Linked DNA regions of Cricetulus griseus. The protein of the gene in region 1 purifies or fractionates together with the protein of each later gene. This does not show direct contact. Links are inferred from orthologs where the notes say so. Each region holds a gene or a part of one and is shown in the gene's direction. Other genes may lie near its edges.

Region 1 (5,093 bases):
AAACAAATGCAAAACCCCTACCCCAACGTAACACATGTCCGGGTTTCCATACCGAGGTCAGTACATCTTTGAAATACACTGGTTGTTTCAGTTCAGCAGTTTTTTCGTAGTCCAGTGTCTTTCCGAAGCTGTTTGTCCACTGTCATTGGCATTAAGAAAGTTTAGCGTTAATAAAGCATTATGCAATCTATGTTTGACTTTCTTAGATTGACTTCCTCAGCCTGGGTCAGACTTCAGGGAGTCTAATGCTAGGCAGTTCATTGTTAACATATTTAAAACACGGTACAACTTGGGAAAAGGTTTCCAGGCAACAAGAAGTCTAATCAGCCCAATTCCAGGTGCACAATAAAGCTTAAGCTGTGACTACATAGAGACACAGTACATGTGACCGTGAGGGTAGGTTCTATAGCTAAAAGGCCTAGAATCTAGTGTGGTCTCTGACTGAGATATCATAGAGGTCAGCAGGTCATAAAGTACATGTGACAACCCCACTAAGGATGGGTAATGATCTAAAGAGGGAAGAGTCTGGGATAATCCTTCTGGGGGATTTGGATGAGGTCTTCTTCTATAGCAAAAGGTGGGTGAGGTCTGCCTCCACAGATAGCAAAAAGGTCACCAGATTAACAAAATCCATTCCCAGCTTTCCAGGCAGGAAGCAAGTATTTTATCTCCTCCATTGGAGAAGAGGCTTCTGTGTGTTTGACATCCCTGTTTTCCCTAGTGATCTATGGGTACAAGGACCTTTGTGCCCACAACAGACTCAACCTCTGGAATCCTGGGATTCCAGGCATGAGCCACCATGCCAGGTTCATCCATTCCTTCATTGTTGTAACCCTCTTCTCCTTTCCTCTTTTTCCTCTGCACCCTTCCTCCCCCTCTTCATCCTTCTCCTATTTCCTCAATATCTTATCTTGATATGAAACCTGCTGACTTTCTTCCATTCTTCCTTTCTTGGTCTAACCCTTATTGGCTACTGCAGAATGAAAGAAATGGGGAAGAAGAAATGCAGAGAAAAAAGGTGGAGTAGAGAAGAAGAAAGAAGTCCTTGTTAGTTTTATTCCTCTGTTTATTCTTATTGTAACCATATTGTGTATCAGGAAAGCTAAATCAGAAATCAATATGGAACCTGAGCCTGAAGGTACAGGCCTGTAATCCCAGTGACTCTGGAAGCTCAAGCAGTGTCATGATTGAAAGTTCAAGGGGCTGGAGAGATGGTTCAGTGGTTAAGATCACTGGCTGCTCTTCCAGGGGACCTGGGTTCAAACCCAGCTTCCACCTGTAGCTCACAATTTGCTGGGTGGTAGTGGCACACACGTTTATTCTCAGCACTTGGGAGGCAGAGGTAGGCGGATCTCTGTGAGTTCAGGGCCAGCCTGGTCTACAGAGTGAGTTCCAGGACAGCCAGGGTACACAGAGAAACCTGTCTCAGAAAAGTTCAAGGCCATCTTGGGTAATTTAGTGAGACACTGTCTCATTTTTTTTTTAAAGTGCAAAAAGGACCAGAAGTGAATATCACTAGTAGGGTACTAGCCTGCCATATACAATGCTATATTCAAACACATAGAAGGCAAATAAATACTTTTTTTAAAAAAAGAAAAAGAAATTGTAACCAAGGTTTTGTTAAAAATTACATTTGTAGAATGCACTGGCTGACCTGCAGAAACTTTTGGGAAAGAATGTAAATGTGTATCTGTGCAGCCTTCATGGGTGTGCTGAGAAGACTCAGGAACATATCAAGCTGTCTAAAGTGTAATAGCAACAAGTCTTGAATTCTTTGCAGGTATGTCCTGGATGATGAATACACCAGCTCGGTAGGCTCCAAATTCCCAGTCCGGTGGTCTCCACCAGAAGTGCTCATGTATAGCAAGTTCAGCAGCAAATCTGACATTTGGGCTTTTGGTAAGTAGACACAAACATACAGGTTAGGATGTGGAGATGTTCAGTGGGTAAACCAAACCACTTCTCATGCAAGCCTTACAACCTAAGTTCAGATCCCCATAACCCAGATAAAAGCTGGGTAACAGTAGTGAATAGAGGCATCTGGAATCTCACTATGCCTCTGCCAGCAGATAGGAGGCAAACACCAGAGAATGACAAGGAACTCATGGACCAGATAGCCTGTAGAATCTACCAGAAAAACAGCAAGAGACACCTAACAAGTGGAAGGTGTGGATCAACACTCAAGGTTGTTATCTGACCTCCACTGTATGCTGTGGTGTACATGAGCACACATGCACACACACACACACACACACACACACACACACACACACACACACACACACAGATACACGCACTGGTGAGGGGGAGAGAATATAGATTATACAGCTCAAAGAAGAACATAGAACATAACAGGACAATTGACATTTACATTCCTGTTATTGTTCATCTGATCCTTGGATGCTTCTTATGTGTCAGGATGTCAGGAACCACAGGGGCTTCTGAGGACAACCACAGCAAACTGGACATAATCCGTGTTTTCTTAGAACTTACAATATATCCTGGGAAACAAACCATTCATTATTCAATGGCTTCTGAATACTGATTATGTACTAGGCACTCTGCCAGACCCTGAAGCTACCAAGACAAACAAGACACGGCCTCTCTTCTAGACTAGCTAATGGTCAAGCTTAGTGTGACTCTGTTGGCCACCACTAGTGTAGCCCGGACCATGGCAGATGTCTGAGCAAAATGCAAAATTCACGGAGGGTAAACTTATTTTAATCTTTAAGGTTCAGCCAGAAGGATTAGGCCCCAAGTAGTCCAAAAAGACTGAGTACGCTTCTCTTTTGTATCTTCTAGGGGTTTTAATGTGGGAAATTTACTCCCTTGGGAAGATGCCATATGAGAGATTTACTAACAGTGAGACGGCAGAACACATTGCTCAAGGCTTACGTCTCTATAGGCCTCATCTAGCATCAGAGAGGGTATATACCATCATGTACAGCTGCTGGCATGAGGTAAGTGTTGGAGTGTTCTCTCAGAAATTATTCCTTTGCATTTCCTTAATATCTCATTTGCCAGGCAGTCCCCTCTCTCTGTGGTCACCTGTTAGCTGGGCACAGACTTATAGCTGCACATACTTTCTCACTCTGGCCTGCATCCCAATCCTCTGATGGCATTTCCATTGCCACCCTCATCCTCGATAGAGTATCATTAGCAGACTAGACCCTAATGCCTATATCAGCTCTAAGTGTGAGGAGTTTGTGGGACCATACTATCTATCAAAGGCACTCAGATAAGATATGGGCGTTATAATATCTGTAATCATTATCTGGGACTCACCTAGGAGTTTTGATCCTTCTTGTAGTGACATCTTGCTTTGCCAGTGAACTTGCAGTGGTGGCCACATCCTAGGGGTATGGCTCCAGGTGGAGATGTGATCCCTTATGAGGAAGAGGAGGGGCTGGCTCATCTGACTGAGTCAACACAGGGAGGCTGGCGGGCCTGGCTCCTGGTCATTGGGGTCATGGGAGCCGTGGTCGACCGGCCGTGCAGGCTAATCATGGGACTGAACCCATGTGGGCACCAATTGAAGGTGGGGTTTAAATGGGTCCTAAAGATCCAAGATAAATGATAAACAGGTATTTGTTAGGGAAGCACTTACACAAATAATAGTAAATAACCACCTCAGTCTTCCTGCTCTAGAAGATGCAATCTCTTCCACTTTACTAGCTGCCAATCTTTTCTTTTTTTTTTTAAGATTTATTTATTTATTTTGTATACAATGTTCTGTCTGCATGTATGCCTGCAGGCCAGAAGAGGGCACCAGATCTCATTACAGATGGTTGTGAGCTACCATGTGGTTGCTGGGAATTGAACTCAGGACCCCTGGAAGAGCAGTGAGTGCTCTTAACCTCTGAGCCATCTCTCCAGCCCAGCTGCTGATCTTTTCTGGTTGAGGTTCTAAATGAGATTTTAAAAACTCTGTTGCTTAGAAGGGACCTGAAGTAGTTTTTGTCTGTCTGCTTTGGTTTTGGGGTTTTGATTCTAAAATATTTTAAATTATTTTACGTATATGGGTGTTCTACTTATATGTATGCCTATGCACCATGATTGTGCCTGATACACCCATAGAAGCCAGAAGAGGGTATCAGGTCCCCTGGACCTGGAGTTATGGACAGTTGTGAGCCACCATGTACATTCTGGGAATCAAACCTGGGTCCAATGGAAGAGCAGTCAGTGCTTTAAATACTGTGTAATTTTCTAGCTCATTAAAAAATATAATACAGATTTTAAGAGGGTGAATTTTTAGTATTGTAGAAATAAGGATCATGTTTCACTATTCTAAAAATGCTTTTCCGGGGCTGGAGAATGTGGCTCAACTGGTAGAGTGTTTACCTACCATGAATGAAGCCTTGGTTTGGTCCCTAGCACCTCATAAGCCAGGTGTGTGGTGCAGGCATTTGTTTGAGACAGGGTCTTGAATTGTCTGGCTGGCCTCAGACTGATTATGTAGACAAGGTTGACTTTCAACTTCTGGTTCTCTTACTTCTACCACCCAAGTGCTGAGGTCACAAGCATGCACTACTATACCCTACTCATAAGGATTTTATTATTACTACTATTATTTTGAGATAGAGTCTCTTTACATATTCTCGGCTGTCCTGGAGCTCACTATGTAGACCAGACCAGCCTCAAACTTACAGAGATTCACCTGTCTCTTCTCAAGTATCAGGATTAAAGACATGTGCTACCATGTCCAGCCTCCTAAGGCATTTTCAAAAATATAAATTACAGGGCTTCTTTTCTAGAGATTCTGGATAGGTATATCTGCTATGGAACTCAGAAATCCTTTCATGTTTCTTAGAACGTCTGATACTTATCTAGTTTGAAAACCACTGATTTGAATACTAAGAAATTGATGACCCTTTAGTTCTGATGGATTGAGGCCACTCTGCTATGAATCCTTCCTGAATTATCAAATACATCAGGACAACTAGGCCTATGTGGTTCCAACACTCAGGAATCTAAGGCTGGAGGGTTTGCCATGAGTTTCAGGCTAGCACAAGCTACATGTTGCCTTCCACAGTAGGCTGAGATATAGAGTGCCATCCTATCACAAAACAAACAACAAAAAACTAAAAAAAAAA
Region 2 (6,434 bases), on another chromosome or scaffold:
AGGCTGTCCTGGAACTCATTCTGTAGACCAGGCTGGCCTCACAGAGATCTTACCTGCCTCTGCCTCCTGAGTCCGAATAAATCCCCCCTTTTTTATTATGTATACAGTCTTCTGCCTGCATGCCAGCAGAAGGCACAAGATCTCAGGAGTGGGGGGATTAAAGGCGTTTGCCACCAATGGGAACTGGCTGCCAAGTGTTATTTTATTTATTGGTTTTGCTTGTTTGTTTGTTTGTTTTGATTTTTCGAGACAGGGTTTCTCTGTGTAGCCTTGGCTGTCCTGGAACTCACTGTGGACCAGGCTGGACTCGAAATGAGAGATCTGCCTTCCTCTGCCTCCTGACATGCCACCACCGCCCTGCTGCCAAGTGTTATTTTAAAATTTTATTATTTGTGTGTGAGAGTGTGGGTGAGGGAAGGAGGGAGGGGAAGGGAGAAAGGGAGAGACAGTGGGTGTGTCCATGCCATGGAGTGAGTGTGGAGGCTAAAGAACATCCACCACAAGATTTGGGATCTAACTCAGGTTGTCAGCCTATTTCAACAAGAGTTCTCACCTGCTGAACCAGTGGTTCTGGAACTTCCTACTGCAGCAACCCCTTAATACAGTTTCTCATGTTGTAGTAACCCCAAACATTATTACTACTTCATAACTGTAATTTGCTGCTGTTATGAATCATAATGTAAATATATGATATGCAGATGGTATAAATATCTGATAAACAAATGGTCTTAGGCTATTTCTGTGAAAGGGTCATGTGAGACCTACAGGTTGAGAACCATTGTCGATCTTGCTGGCTCAGATTTGAATTTCTTAAACCCTTCTTTCAAGATTTACTTATTTATTTATGTATATAATGTTCTATCTGCATGTATGCCTGTGGGCCAGAAAGGGGCACCAGATCTCCTTACAGATGGCTGTGAGCCGCCATGCTAGGTACTGAACGCAGGACCTCTGGAAGACCTCCGAGTCATCTCTCCAGCACTAATTTTTTAAAGGTGTATTTATTTTTATGTGCACTGGTATTTCACATGAGAGTATGTCTGTGTGAGGGTGAGAGATTACTCTGGAACTGCCATGTGGGTGCTGGGAATCGAATCCAGGTCCTCCGACTCATCTCTCCAGCCCCATCAGCAGTCAAATTGTAAATGCTGACAACCAGTACAAATTTCTCTAATATTCTTTAAAGGCCAACCAGTCGAGGCAAAGAAAGATGGAAAGACAAGGCAACTTGTTGGATCTAGCCTGAGCACCTGGTATTCATATCCAACCTAGAAAAATTCCTGGTGAAAAGACCGGCTCCAAGAAGTTGCCCCCAAATTACAAATATGGAGTAGAACAAAACTAGAACCCATGTCCTTGGAGTCCCACAAGACAATGATACAGGCATTTATTTACTTGATCTTTCAAGTGTTTTCTATTTTTTTATGAATTGACCAAATGCAAATGACGTGTGTGTGTGTGTGTGTGTGTGTGTGTGTGTGTGTGTGTGTGTGTACTTGCAGGCCCCTTGTATCAGGTTCAGGCCCGTGTTTGGTAGGACTTTCAAGGCTGAAAAATAGCCCTGAGCTAATTTGTCTACGGAAGGGTCACTCTTGTATAATAACATAAGGTAAAATTCTTTGTTAAATCAATGATCCCTGTGAAGGAAAGAGAACCCTGACAAAGATAAATCTATTACATTAGAAGATATTACCACCTGCTTCGTGGTGATCTTCAAATCATTGTACGTTTTGTGGAAAACCTCTTTCTGTGTGCCTGTGTTCATTGATTCAAAACACACATCAGAGTAGTTTGGTTTCTTCATTTTCCTTTCCGATTGGCTGGAGAGCATCTTATGGTGATTGGCCAAAGTATTTGCCTGCCGTCCTTCCGGATCTACGATAGGAAGAACTGGCAGAAGAGGGTGGGGGAAAGTAGACTGAACTCTGCTTTTTTATTGGCTCCTGTAGCAACACCGCTTAGTGCGGAGCAATCCCAACTTATGATTGGCTTATGTACCCGCCAGACAAACTGCCGTAAACCAGTGTTCTCGTTATACTCTGCCTTCCTTGCCTGATTGGCTGTGTTGTGCAGGTTCCGCGATCTCTGATTGGTCTGACGCTCTACACAGCCCGGCTTGCCTGCACTCTGTTGCCGTGGTTGCAGGCCCCGCCCGCTCGCTCTCTGACAGCGAGGCTTCTCCTAGAGGGAAGCGGGTCCGTTGGTCGGTCCGGAACGAGGCTGGCGCTGCCAGGCCCGCGCCTAGCCGTTGCCATGGCAGCCACCGGCGGGGTCGCGGATGACGAGTCCCGATCCGGCCGCTCGAGCTCCGACGGCGAGTGCGCGGTGGCGCCGGAGCCGCTGGCGGAAGCCGGAGGCCTGTTCTCCTTCGCGGACCTAGGCGCTGCGCTGGGCGGCGGCGCAGGCCTCCCGGGCCGGGCAGCCGGCAGGGCCCAGTCCCCGCTGCGCTACCTGCAGGTCCTGTGGCAGCAGGACGCCGAGCCCCGCGATGAACTGCGCTGCAAGATCCCCGCCGGGCGGCTGAGGCGCGCCGCTAGGCCCCACCGCAGGCTCGGGCCCACTGGCAAGGAGGTGCACGGTGAGCTCAACCCGGGATCCTAGGGTCGCTCGTGAATGATCGCAGCAGTTAAAGCTGTTGAGGACCGTGACTTCGGCCACTTGGACATCCCTGAATAAAAACTTTCCACTCTCGAGAGTGGTTGTTAGTAGACAATAATGTGAGACAATGGAGAATATTTTTATTATTAGAGAAGGGAACCCAGAGCTGTGGCCACGCTGTACCAACTTGTGTGATGCACAGATCTGAACCAGACTGCTCCACACAGACTCACGTGTGACCTCGCTTTCCTATTTGTAGAATGGGTACACTACCAGCTTTCCTTGGGTGTGAAGACTTAGGCAAGGTTCTGATCTATCTTTGTGATGGACCAAGCACTTTTGATACACAACCTTTTATAGTCATTCCAAGGGATACATTGTGGCCCATAAGAAGTGACTTGTAAACAAGTGAAACAGCCAGAGCCTGGTGGTGGTGGCATAAGCCTTTAGTCCCAGCACTCAGGAGGCAGAGGCAAGAGGATGTCTTGTGAGTTAGAGGCCAGCCCGGTCTACAAAGCTACACAGAGAAACCCTGTCTGGATAAACCAAAAAAAAAAAAAAAAAAAAAAGGAAAAAAGAAAAGAAAGAAAAACAGCCAGGTGTGCCAGGTGTGGTAGTACTCCTGTAATCCTGAGGAGGCAGAAGCAGGACTCTGAGTTCAGGGCTAGTCTGGGCTAAGTATCAAGTTCCAGGTTCACTGTAAATCTTGGTGATTACACTCAGTAGATCAGGCTTTGTAGCTAGCCTCTTTTCCCACTGAGTCAGTTATTACCATTTGGACATTTTTTTTTTTTGGTTTTTTCGAGACAGGGTTTCTCTGTGGCTTTGGAGGCTGTCCTGGAACTAGCTCTTGTAGACCAGAGCTGGTCTCGAACTCTGCCTCCCAAGTGCTGGGATTAAAGGCGTGCGCCACCAACGCCCGGCTTTTTTTTTTTTTTTTAAAGATTTATTTATCTTGTATACAGTGTTCTGCCTACATATATGCCTGTGTGCCAGAAGAGGGATCCAGATCTCATTATAGATGGTTGTGAGCCACCATGTGATTGCTGGGAATTGAACTCAGGACCTCTGGAAGAGCAGCCAGTGCTCTCAACCTCTGAGCCATCTCTCCAGCCCATTTGGACATTCTGATTTCAAGTCATATAGAAGAAGGCTATGCCAGTATTCCAACCCCATCTGCTATATTGTTTCTGCAGTTTGTGGGTGAAAAGGAAAATGGGATACAGAAAGATTAATAAATTGGAAATTTTTAAGGTCTCTTTTCAGACTAGCACCATTTCACCTGGTGTCTTAGTGTTATAAAGATCAAAGGAGGGCCTGGCAGTGGTGGCGCACGCCTTTAATACCAGCACTCAGGAGGTAGAGGCAGGTGGATCTCTGTGAGTTCAAGACCAGCCTGGTCTACAGAGTGAGTTCCAGGACAGCCAGGGCTACACAGAGAAACCCTGTCTCAAGAAAGATTAAAAGAGAATTTCAAAGGACTGTATAAACAAAAATGTGGCATATGGATATATGCAATTGTTATATCTAGTTTGCAGTTGTTTTGACCATTCTCTTGACAACAAAGGTATTGCTTTCTGTTAGTTCTAAGGTAGAAGTGGCATCAGTGAGAAGAGGGAAGTTTCTGCTTAGGAATTACTGAGTTTGGTAAGTCATTTAGGAATGACCTGCTTTGAAGCAGAATAATAAAATGTTGAATGCAATTAGCTCACAAAGGACTAAACCTGCTCAGTCTTTCTCTTTTAAAAAATTATCTCAATTTTCTTTGTAACAACTTAAGAGCTGGCAGAACAAGTCAGCCTTGTTGTACGGATGATGGGCTGGGGCCCAGGGTAAGTAACTGGCTTGCTCAAGGTCGCCAACTACGACAAGTGGCAGAAATTAGATCTGGCTCCAGAAGTCAATTTTCTACAGAAATTGGTCTCTCTTCCAACTGTGGCCCAGTTCCAGTTTCTCCTTGTTCCCAGACTAGTGGTTTCTGTCCCGATACCTTTGCCTTTCTGTGCTGCTGTGACGGAAGGGTGGAATATCAGGGAACACTGGGAAGCGATGTGCCTTATGGTTTTGTTACGATTTTGTTTAACTGTCACTTTTCTCTTTATAGCTCTGAAGAGGCTGAGGGATTCTGCCAATGCCAATGATGTAGAAACAGGTGAGTGTGCACAGTGGCATCTATGGGCTGATGGGGAAGGAAAAAGCCAAGTACTCCATACCTGGGCAGTCTGCCAGCTCATCCACATTCCCTCAGAGCATGTTCACTGTATTCACTCCCTGACCCTGAAATCACTGTGCAAAACGGAAGGAAGTAAGGTGTAGGTACTCCCTCACCAGGCCCCTCTGTTACCCAGAGTCTCCTGGTGTCATAGTGCTCATCACCCTGTGTGCTTGCTGATGCTAGGGGCCATGCCTGGTTGTTTTTAATCTCTGGGATTCAGCAATACCCTCAGAAAAAAGCAAATGCCCACTTTGGAACTTTTGGCTCCCAGGAGTGAACACTCCACCTTGACTGCCAGGTGATCATCTAGTACCCCAGGCTGTCCAGTAACTAGTTCTCAGACCTGTTATTGACAGGGCATCTGACAAGCATGGGTGGGGCTCCCTACAGGACATTGCAGCTGGCTTTCTGTTTCTGTTTCTGAGCTTTCCCTAACTGAGGTAGAGCACTGGAGGTATAAGGACAGCTTCTAGGACAAACACTACCACCACCACTACTACTACTACCACCACCACAGTTACTTATTTAATCGGATAACAATACTTCCCATGTGTCAGAGGAAATGGTGTGTTGGAGAAATGGTCTGCTGTATTGTCTAGACTTTTTTCATGGTGACAAAATAGATCCTAAGGAAGGAGATTACTTTTGGCTCATGATCTCAGATCTTTTGGTCCTCAGATCATTTACTGTATTCACATCTCAGTGTGGTGGGGTATGCCCTTAATCACAGTCCTCAGGAGGCAGAGGTAGTTGGATGACAAATTAAGGCCAGTCTGGACTACCACAGCAAGTTCTAAAACAGCCTGGAGTACAAAAGGAGATTAAAAATAATAGGTTTGGTCTGAGGAATGGCTCAGTGGGTAAGAGCACTTCTTGTAAAAGCAAGAGGACCTGAGTTCAAATCCCCAGGGCCCATGTAAAAAAGTTAGGTAAAGGGGCTGGAGAGATGGCTCAGAGGTTAAGAGCACTGGCTGCTCTTCCTGAGGTCCTGAGTTCAATTCCCAGCAACCACATGGTGGCTCACAACCATCTATAATGAGATCTGGTGCCCTCTTCTGGCGTGTAGTGAAGGCATGCATGCAGGCAGGCAGAACACTGTAACACTGTATATATAATAAATAAATACATCTTTAAAAAAAAGTTAGCACTGGGCGTTGGCGCACACTTTTAATCCCAGCACTTGAGAGGCAGAGGCAGGCAGATCTCTGTGAGTTTGAGGTCAGCCTCGAACACGCCAGAGTGAGTGCCAGGATAGGCTCCAAAGCTACACAGAGAAACCCTGTCTTGAAAAACCAAAATAAAAAAACAAAAAGTTAGGTATAGTTCCATGTGCTTGTAACCCCATAGGGGGTTGGAGACAGGTGGATCCTGGAAGCTTGGTGGTCAGCCATCCAACTGAAGCAGGAAGCTGTAGGTTCAATGAGAAATCTTGTATTGTAAAATACAATGGTGAGTGACAGAAGATCCCTGATGCTTTCTCTGGTCTCTGTATGCACACACATAGTGCATGCATTTGCACACACCATACATATATACCATACATACACAACAAATACAAAAATGATGAATAAATTAAAAAGCAAAACAAAACAAGTTTCCACTGATCATTGCTGGAGGGCAT
Region 3 (6,551 bases), on another chromosome or scaffold:
TATGAAAGTACCTCCACAGGGGTCTTTCAGGCCAACCAGTACTTTATTTATCATCCAGTAAGACAAACACATACACAGAAGCACTTTCCCCATCATCTCCTCTTTTCTGTCTAAATAAAAAGAAGGATAACTTATCTTTTATAATAACTGAAGAAAACTATAACCATAACTATCTGTCTTTAACTCTATCAAAGACCACAGAAGGATAATATATAAACTCTAGAATTGACAGAGACATCTGGCTACCTGAAGAGTCACCCAAAGTTCCTCTGTAACATTGGGGCATCCATCTTCAGTCCATAGGCCATAGTATGTCTGGCACACTTCTCCATTTCAACAGGAACCTTTCAGTACTGTCTTATTTTGTAAGTTCAGCAGTCACTTTCTTGTGGGTCCTGTATGTCCAGTTTATACAGTGACAAACAGTCCAGGCAAGAGCAGTTTCTTGCTCAAATGGCTAATCTTGCCATGTTGAAAGCAAACTCCATAACAAGTTTCTTCAATGCCCATCCTCCTTTCTGATGTAATTGGTGTGCCAGGAGCAGTTGTGTCTCACTGTCAAGAAAACCCTAAACCATTTAAATGCCATATTTTCTGTAGGTCTTTGAAAAGTTTGAAGAATACCTATCCATCTTAAATACATCTCTGTATATCTGAAAGACCTAACTAACCTAATTATAAGTTCTGACTATCATAGGTGACTATATAACCTGTATTTAATTATGCATATCATTTTAAAAGATCTGTATAAACACAATACCTAAACAAGAGGCGACATATACATATCACAAAATTGACCTTAAAGTGTCAATCAATGAAAATCCATACCAATGCAAAGTGTTCATTCCTATGTCCTACTCCCCTTTTTTTCCTTTAAAAAGAGATTGACTATGCTCATTACTATTTGTAACCAACCCCATTTAAATGTAAACAAACATTTATAAACAATATTTGGGAATTTGGGCGTCGTTCATTCCAAACTGCTTCCTGCTGATTGGGGGCGATGTCCGTATCATGGGGATCATGATAAAACATAGAAACCTGACCAAGTCCTTGTTTTTGTAGTCCATTAGGTTGCATCATCTCAGCTGCTTTGGATGTAGGATCAGTTGGGTCACTGCTTCAGGGAGTCTTGACCTATGCTTGATCAAACCATATTAGTCTGGAAGGAATCCACAGCTTTTCATTTTCTGTGGAGACACAAGCAAAAACTTTTTTCCCAAGTAGCCTGTCCTTAGACTTAAATTTTTAAGTCAAAGCATTTTTAAAATGTATAAGTTGGATTAATTTAGCAGCACTTATAATCAAATGTATTTTAGCAGCAGTAACTCTTTCCTCGGTAATCAAACAATTTAAAGACAACAATATAGCATATAGTATCTAGACTCTCTGTGTATTCCATCTTTAGGTGGCTTTTCTATTATTCTGTTTTTACTTTCTTTTGTTTCTTTTTTTTTCTGAGACAGGGTTTCTCTGTGGAAATCCGATTGCCTCTCCCTTTGGAGTCCTGGGATTAAAGGTGTCTGCCACCACACCCAACTACTCTATTTTCTCCTGTTATTTTTTCTCTCACAAGCCTACAGATATTTTTAAATGTAGTGTAAACCTTTAGATGTTTTTCTTTATCTGGATCTGTCTTTATCATCTTGGGAGTGCCGAGTCCAACCTCCATGAACTCCATGATGGCGCGAGCATATGCCTCTCAGCAGCCCAAAAGGGCCGGCTGTGGCAGCAGGTTTTCCTCTTCCTCTGGGAACCTTGGGGCATGGGGTCATCCCGCTCACTGACACCATTCTGTTACCATAAATCTTTCTGCTAAAAGCCACTGCAGCCCTACTGCCACGTGGGTGCTTTACACCAGCCACCCGAGTCTGCCCGACAAGTTAGGGCCCCAAATAATACACAGACACTTATATTAGGTACAAATATGCTTGGCCAAAGACTAGGATTTCTCATCTGTTAGCTCAGTCTTAATTATCACAAATCTATATATTTTATAAGACTTATCTTATAGAGGATGCCTTTCACTGGCGCCCTCTCTTGCTGGTGGATCACATGGTGACTCCAGAGCAAAGACCAGGAAGAAGAGAGAGGGGTGGCCCACTTCCTTCTTGCCCTTGTTCACATATGAGTCTCCCTGCTATGTCACTTCCTGCCTGGATCACCACTTCTTTACTACATTTCCCAGAATCCTCCTTGACTCCTAGTCCTGCCTAACTTGCTGCCTCATTGGCCAAACAGTACTTTATTTATCATCCAGTAAGACAAACACATACACAGAAGCACTTCCCCCATCACCGGATATCATTCATCTGGATTTTCTTTATTCCCCTCATTGATTTTATCATGCATGTATGTATTTTTAATATGTTTTGTTGTGGCTAGCTTAACATTAAATAGAACCATACAACATTAGTCTCTCTTATTTTTGATATATTTTAATTAAAATGTAATTGTATCATTTCCTCCTTCCCTTTCCTCCTAACCCCTCCCATTTTCTTCCTGTCTTCCTTTCAAATTTATAGCCTCTTTTTCTTTGATTATGGCTTCCATATATATATATATATATATATATATATATATATATATATATACATATGTGTGTGTGTACAATTATGTACATACAACTTGTTGAGTCTGTTTTTGTTGTTTGTGTGTAACTGTATTGGTGTGTTGCGTGTAAATGATTTCAGAACTGACTACTTTGTATTGGATGCTCAGTTAGGGGCCTCACCCTAAGTGAGGTTAATTTTTCCATCTCAGAAGTCATTGGAACCTATAGTTCTTTGTCTAGGGGAGGGGCTCCATGAGAGTTTCCGTTTCTGCATTGAGAATGTCTGTTGATATTCCCACTGTATGGTCTGGTTTAGACAGCGTTTCTATGAGACATCAACTTATTTTTTAAAGTTAACTTTTACTTATATGTGCATTCACATGCTCTACTGCTCACATGTGGAGGTCAGACGTGACTCGAAGGAATTGGTTCTTTCTACCACATGGGAACTGGAGAGTAAATTCATAGTCAGCCTCGTGGTGAGAGCCTTTTCCCACTAAGCCATCTTACAGGCCTGCTCATTCACTTCTTCAGTTTGTCTTTATTGCACCAATTATCATCATTACCATTATTATTTTTACTTGGGCTGGAGAGATGGCTCAGTGCCTAAGAGAATTGGTTGCTCTTCCAAAGGACTTGGGTTTGATTCCCAGCACCCACACAGAGGCTCACAACTGTCTGTAATGGCAGTTTCAGGGAATCTGAACTTTCAGCCATGCCTCTCTCCCCCAGGCACTAAGTATTCAGGTTAGGTATAAAGACATGCATGCACACAAAGCACTCATAGATATAAAATAGTAGTAAAATAGTTTTAAAGAGAAAAACACTATTTTGCTATTTATCCATAGTGATACAACTGGAGTTCCCTAGTGTCCAATATTAAATAGTATTCGTTTATGTGAATGTGGCACACTCATTCATTATTCTCCTGCTGATGAACAATTGGGCCATTGTTTTTGTTTTTCCTGGTAGAGACACCACTGCAAGCTGGTGTTCAGTGGTGCAGCACTTGCATGGCATGCACAAGGCCCTGAAGGAGAGGAGCAGTAGCCTTTCACTGAACATTCATGCAGTGGTGTTCCACTTAGAAATGTCTTAGAGACCCATCACCTGTGCAGCCCTAAATATGCACACCACCAAACTTACTAGACAATACCAAACTGTCTCCAAAGTGGTCGTGCCTTATACTTCTCTCAGCAGTGTGCATGAATCACAAATTTTTTTTAAAAAAGCATATTACCGGACATTTGTCATGTTAATGTAGTGATCCGATCATCTCTGTGCCTGCTGTTATAGACTGGGCTTGAACGCTCATCACGGCCTGTGCCTTGTGGTTTCACTCCATTAACAAGTTAGCAGCTAAGAGTTGGTATCATTGGTTTCCATTCTTGCATAGCCCTTCTGGGAAAGCAGTGATGGCTGTAAAGCCATTTTGGCAGGCTTGGAACGTTGGGCTATGACACTGCACACACTACACACCACGTGGGGCAAAATGTCCAGCCTGGAAAAGCAGATTCTCGTTTTCATCAAGTCAGAGTTAATACAGTAAAAAGAAGAAAGACAAGCCGCTGTAAAAAGAAAAAGCAGAAGTATAACCCTTGCCCCTGTCTCTTTCTCTGGGGAAATAAGAAGCTGCCAGACCAGGTGCTGAGTGGAGTTGGTGGAGGGGAAAGTTGGGGGGGCCAACGGAGGAGATTTTACAATCATTCAGAAGGAACAAGAGGCTGTTGTCATCCCACTGGCCAGACCCTCCCGACCCTTGATGACATCATACATGTTTTCCTCATGTTTCTTTCCACTAAGCACTGTGGGAGCAGAGGGGCCCGGAACTAGAGCTCCTTGAGAATATACTGCAAGAAAACCAAGCAACCTGATTAGGGAGAACCAACAGCTACAGAAATCTAGCTCTGGCATTTATCTCATGCTGATCTACTCTAGGGCAGCAGAAGGATCCCCACCCTTCATCAGTCCTGAATCGTCAGCTCCCAAACATCCTGAGGGATGGGAGATTCAGACATCATGCATGAATGTGAACAGTCAAGGAACCTGGAGGCGAGAAGACTTCCGTTTGAACAAAGAACCAGGAGGGAAGAAATCCATTCTTGCTCTCCGTCTCTCTGTATGGTCCTCCTTCCCTCTCTCTCTTCAGTCAGGCCTTGAGGCTGTAATGGAAGAGAACTGAAAGCCTCCAACTTTGTCCCCCTGTGCATTCGTTAGACAGGTTGATGGTCCTTTGATTATGTGAGGAACATAAACCTCCTTCACAAAGGACATACCGGGTGGCAGGAGTAGGGGTGCCCAGGTACGACAGGAAGAAAGAGCACTCCCTCTGCTTTTCTCACCCTTGACCTTAGACTGCCTTCGGCTCCTTAACTCACAGATAAGTCAGAGGCTTGCAGAGTAGGCAGAGGAATGGGTAGGTGTCTTGAGGAGGGCAGAAGAGCTGTCTGGATGGGGTCAGCAGGTGCAGGTGTGGGAATCACTGTCCTTGGGATGACCCAAATCTGATGTATTACCTGGGTCTGATGAGAGGACAAGGTGAGCAGAGTCCAAAATCAGGAGGGGACAAAGACAAAGACACGGAGGGGAGTTAGGAGGCATCTGCCTGATGTCATGTGTTAGGAAATCACTGGGCTTGTTCTCAGCTGATTTTGAGCATATCCTGGTTTTATTTGAAAGCATTAAGCTTTCAGCAAGGCAACTCCTGACTCCACACAGTGTATAATGGAGATCATTTTTCCTTCTGGAATCGCCTATCTCTACCCCTAAGTGACACGGACCTTCGCAAGGAATTAACGGTCCCATTTTAAATACAGCTTGAGAAGAAGAGACCCCACATCTCTGAGTAAATGACCACTGCCATGACCTTGCCACCCAGATGTATGAGGAAGGAGCATTATGAACAGTCCACTTCATATCTTAGGTCTCTGAGCAGAGGAGGCTAACCCATGCCCTCATGCAAACGAGCAGAAAGCCCCCAAGAGTCATCCAGGTGTAATTGACTGTTAGCTTTTCCTTGTACATGGCAAGTTGCAGGTGACCCTGGCCATCTGCTGAAAACAGGGACTAACTACCTAAGGTTTGGGACAAACAGGAAGGCGTGTCCAGCCAGAAGCTTATTCCAACCTGGCAACAAACCTGGTCATAAAAGAGAGCTGCTGGAAAGAGATTTGCATGCCCAATAAGGTTTCACTACTGAAGTTTACACAACGCACAGTAATCTGCCAAGCAGGCTGACTCCCTGGATCACATGATCTCGTAGAAACATGAAACTTGACGATGCGCTCCAGCGAGTTTTACTTCCCCTGTGCAGGGGTGTTTGCCAGCAGCCTGCGGTTGCTCTCAGAAGTCAGTTCCAGTGGCTTGAGCCCTTGAGCCCAAAGCCTTACCATGCAGCTCCCTAGGAAGGCCAGGAGCTGCTGATATCCCCTTGGAGAGCGACCCACATCTCCTCTCAAGAAAAATGGACAAGCTGAATAAGATAACTGTCCCTGCCAGCCAGAAGCTGAGGTAAGTTTCCCTTCAGATCCTTAGCCCTGTTCCTTCCCCACTAGTGCTCCTACTGTTTTCGGAGGCACCAATACCCTAGAGTACTCCACCAGTTCCGAGGAAATGACTGTTCCCCAATGCCTATGGGGAAGCAGACCGCATTTTTTAAGAAATATGTAGGAACCAGTGGAGCTACTCTGGCTGGTTTTTGCCAGTGATAGGACAAAGGGTGACGCTCTGGAAAAGCAAGAGATAGAAAATTCTATGGCCCACATGTTACCGATGGTCAGCTTTCTGGGTCTGAATAGGACACACTGCCGAGGAAGGGCTTATCCAAATGGAGTCTGCACCTACTGCATGGGGAACCTTTGTGGTCATTGTTGGTTATCGTCTCTTGTTTATTTTTGTGAGTGCTCATCAAAAGTTTATTGTGGGGAACTGTATGTCTTTCCAATGCTTTCATGAAAGGACAATAATTATCTATTTTGAAAACTGCTTAAGGCCAGTC

Evidence for each region.
Region 2: the proteins of Btk (region 1) and Ankrd54 purify together in Homo sapiens (affinity purification with mass spectrometry; 4 studies listed by BioGRID and IntAct, counting the BioPlex papers as one, with this or other methods). This does not show direct contact. The link is inferred for Cricetulus griseus from reciprocal best matches to the Homo sapiens genes BTK and ANKRD54.
Region 3: the proteins of Btk (region 1) and Blnk purify together in Homo sapiens (affinity purification with western blotting; 5 studies listed by BioGRID and IntAct, with this or other methods). This does not show direct contact. The link is inferred for Cricetulus griseus from reciprocal best matches to the Homo sapiens genes BTK and BLNK.

The regions. Positions count from the first base shown.
Region 1 is NC_048604.1:45,556,961-45,562,053, forward strand, and holds part of Btk (tyrosine-protein kinase BTK), read left to right. Parts: intron 1-1,780; coding exon 1,781-1,899; intron 1,900-2,802; coding exon 2,803-2,960; intron 2,961-5,093. UniProt on the Homo sapiens protein: Non-receptor tyrosine kinase indispensable for B lymphocyte development, differentiation and signaling. Binding of antigen to the B-cell antigen receptor (BCR) triggers signaling that ultimately leads to B-cell activation.
Region 2 is NC_048595.1:376,176,028-376,182,461, reverse strand, and holds the start of Ankrd54 (ankyrin repeat domain-containing protein 54), read left to right. Parts: upstream 1-2,154; 5' UTR 2,155-2,253; coding exon 2,254-2,578; intron 2,579-4,702; coding exon 4,703-4,750; intron 4,751-6,434. UniProt on the Homo sapiens protein: Plays an important role in regulating intracellular signaling events associated with erythroid terminal differentiation.
Region 3 is NC_048596.1:20,565,044-20,571,594, forward strand, and holds the start of Blnk (B-cell linker protein), read left to right. Parts: upstream 1-2,271; 5' UTR 2,272-2,352; intron 2,353-4,492; 5' UTR 4,493-6,017; coding exon 6,018-6,064; intron 6,065-6,551. UniProt on the Homo sapiens protein: Functions as a central linker protein, downstream of the B-cell receptor (BCR), bridging the SYK kinase to a multitude of signaling pathways and regulating biological outcomes of B-cell function and development.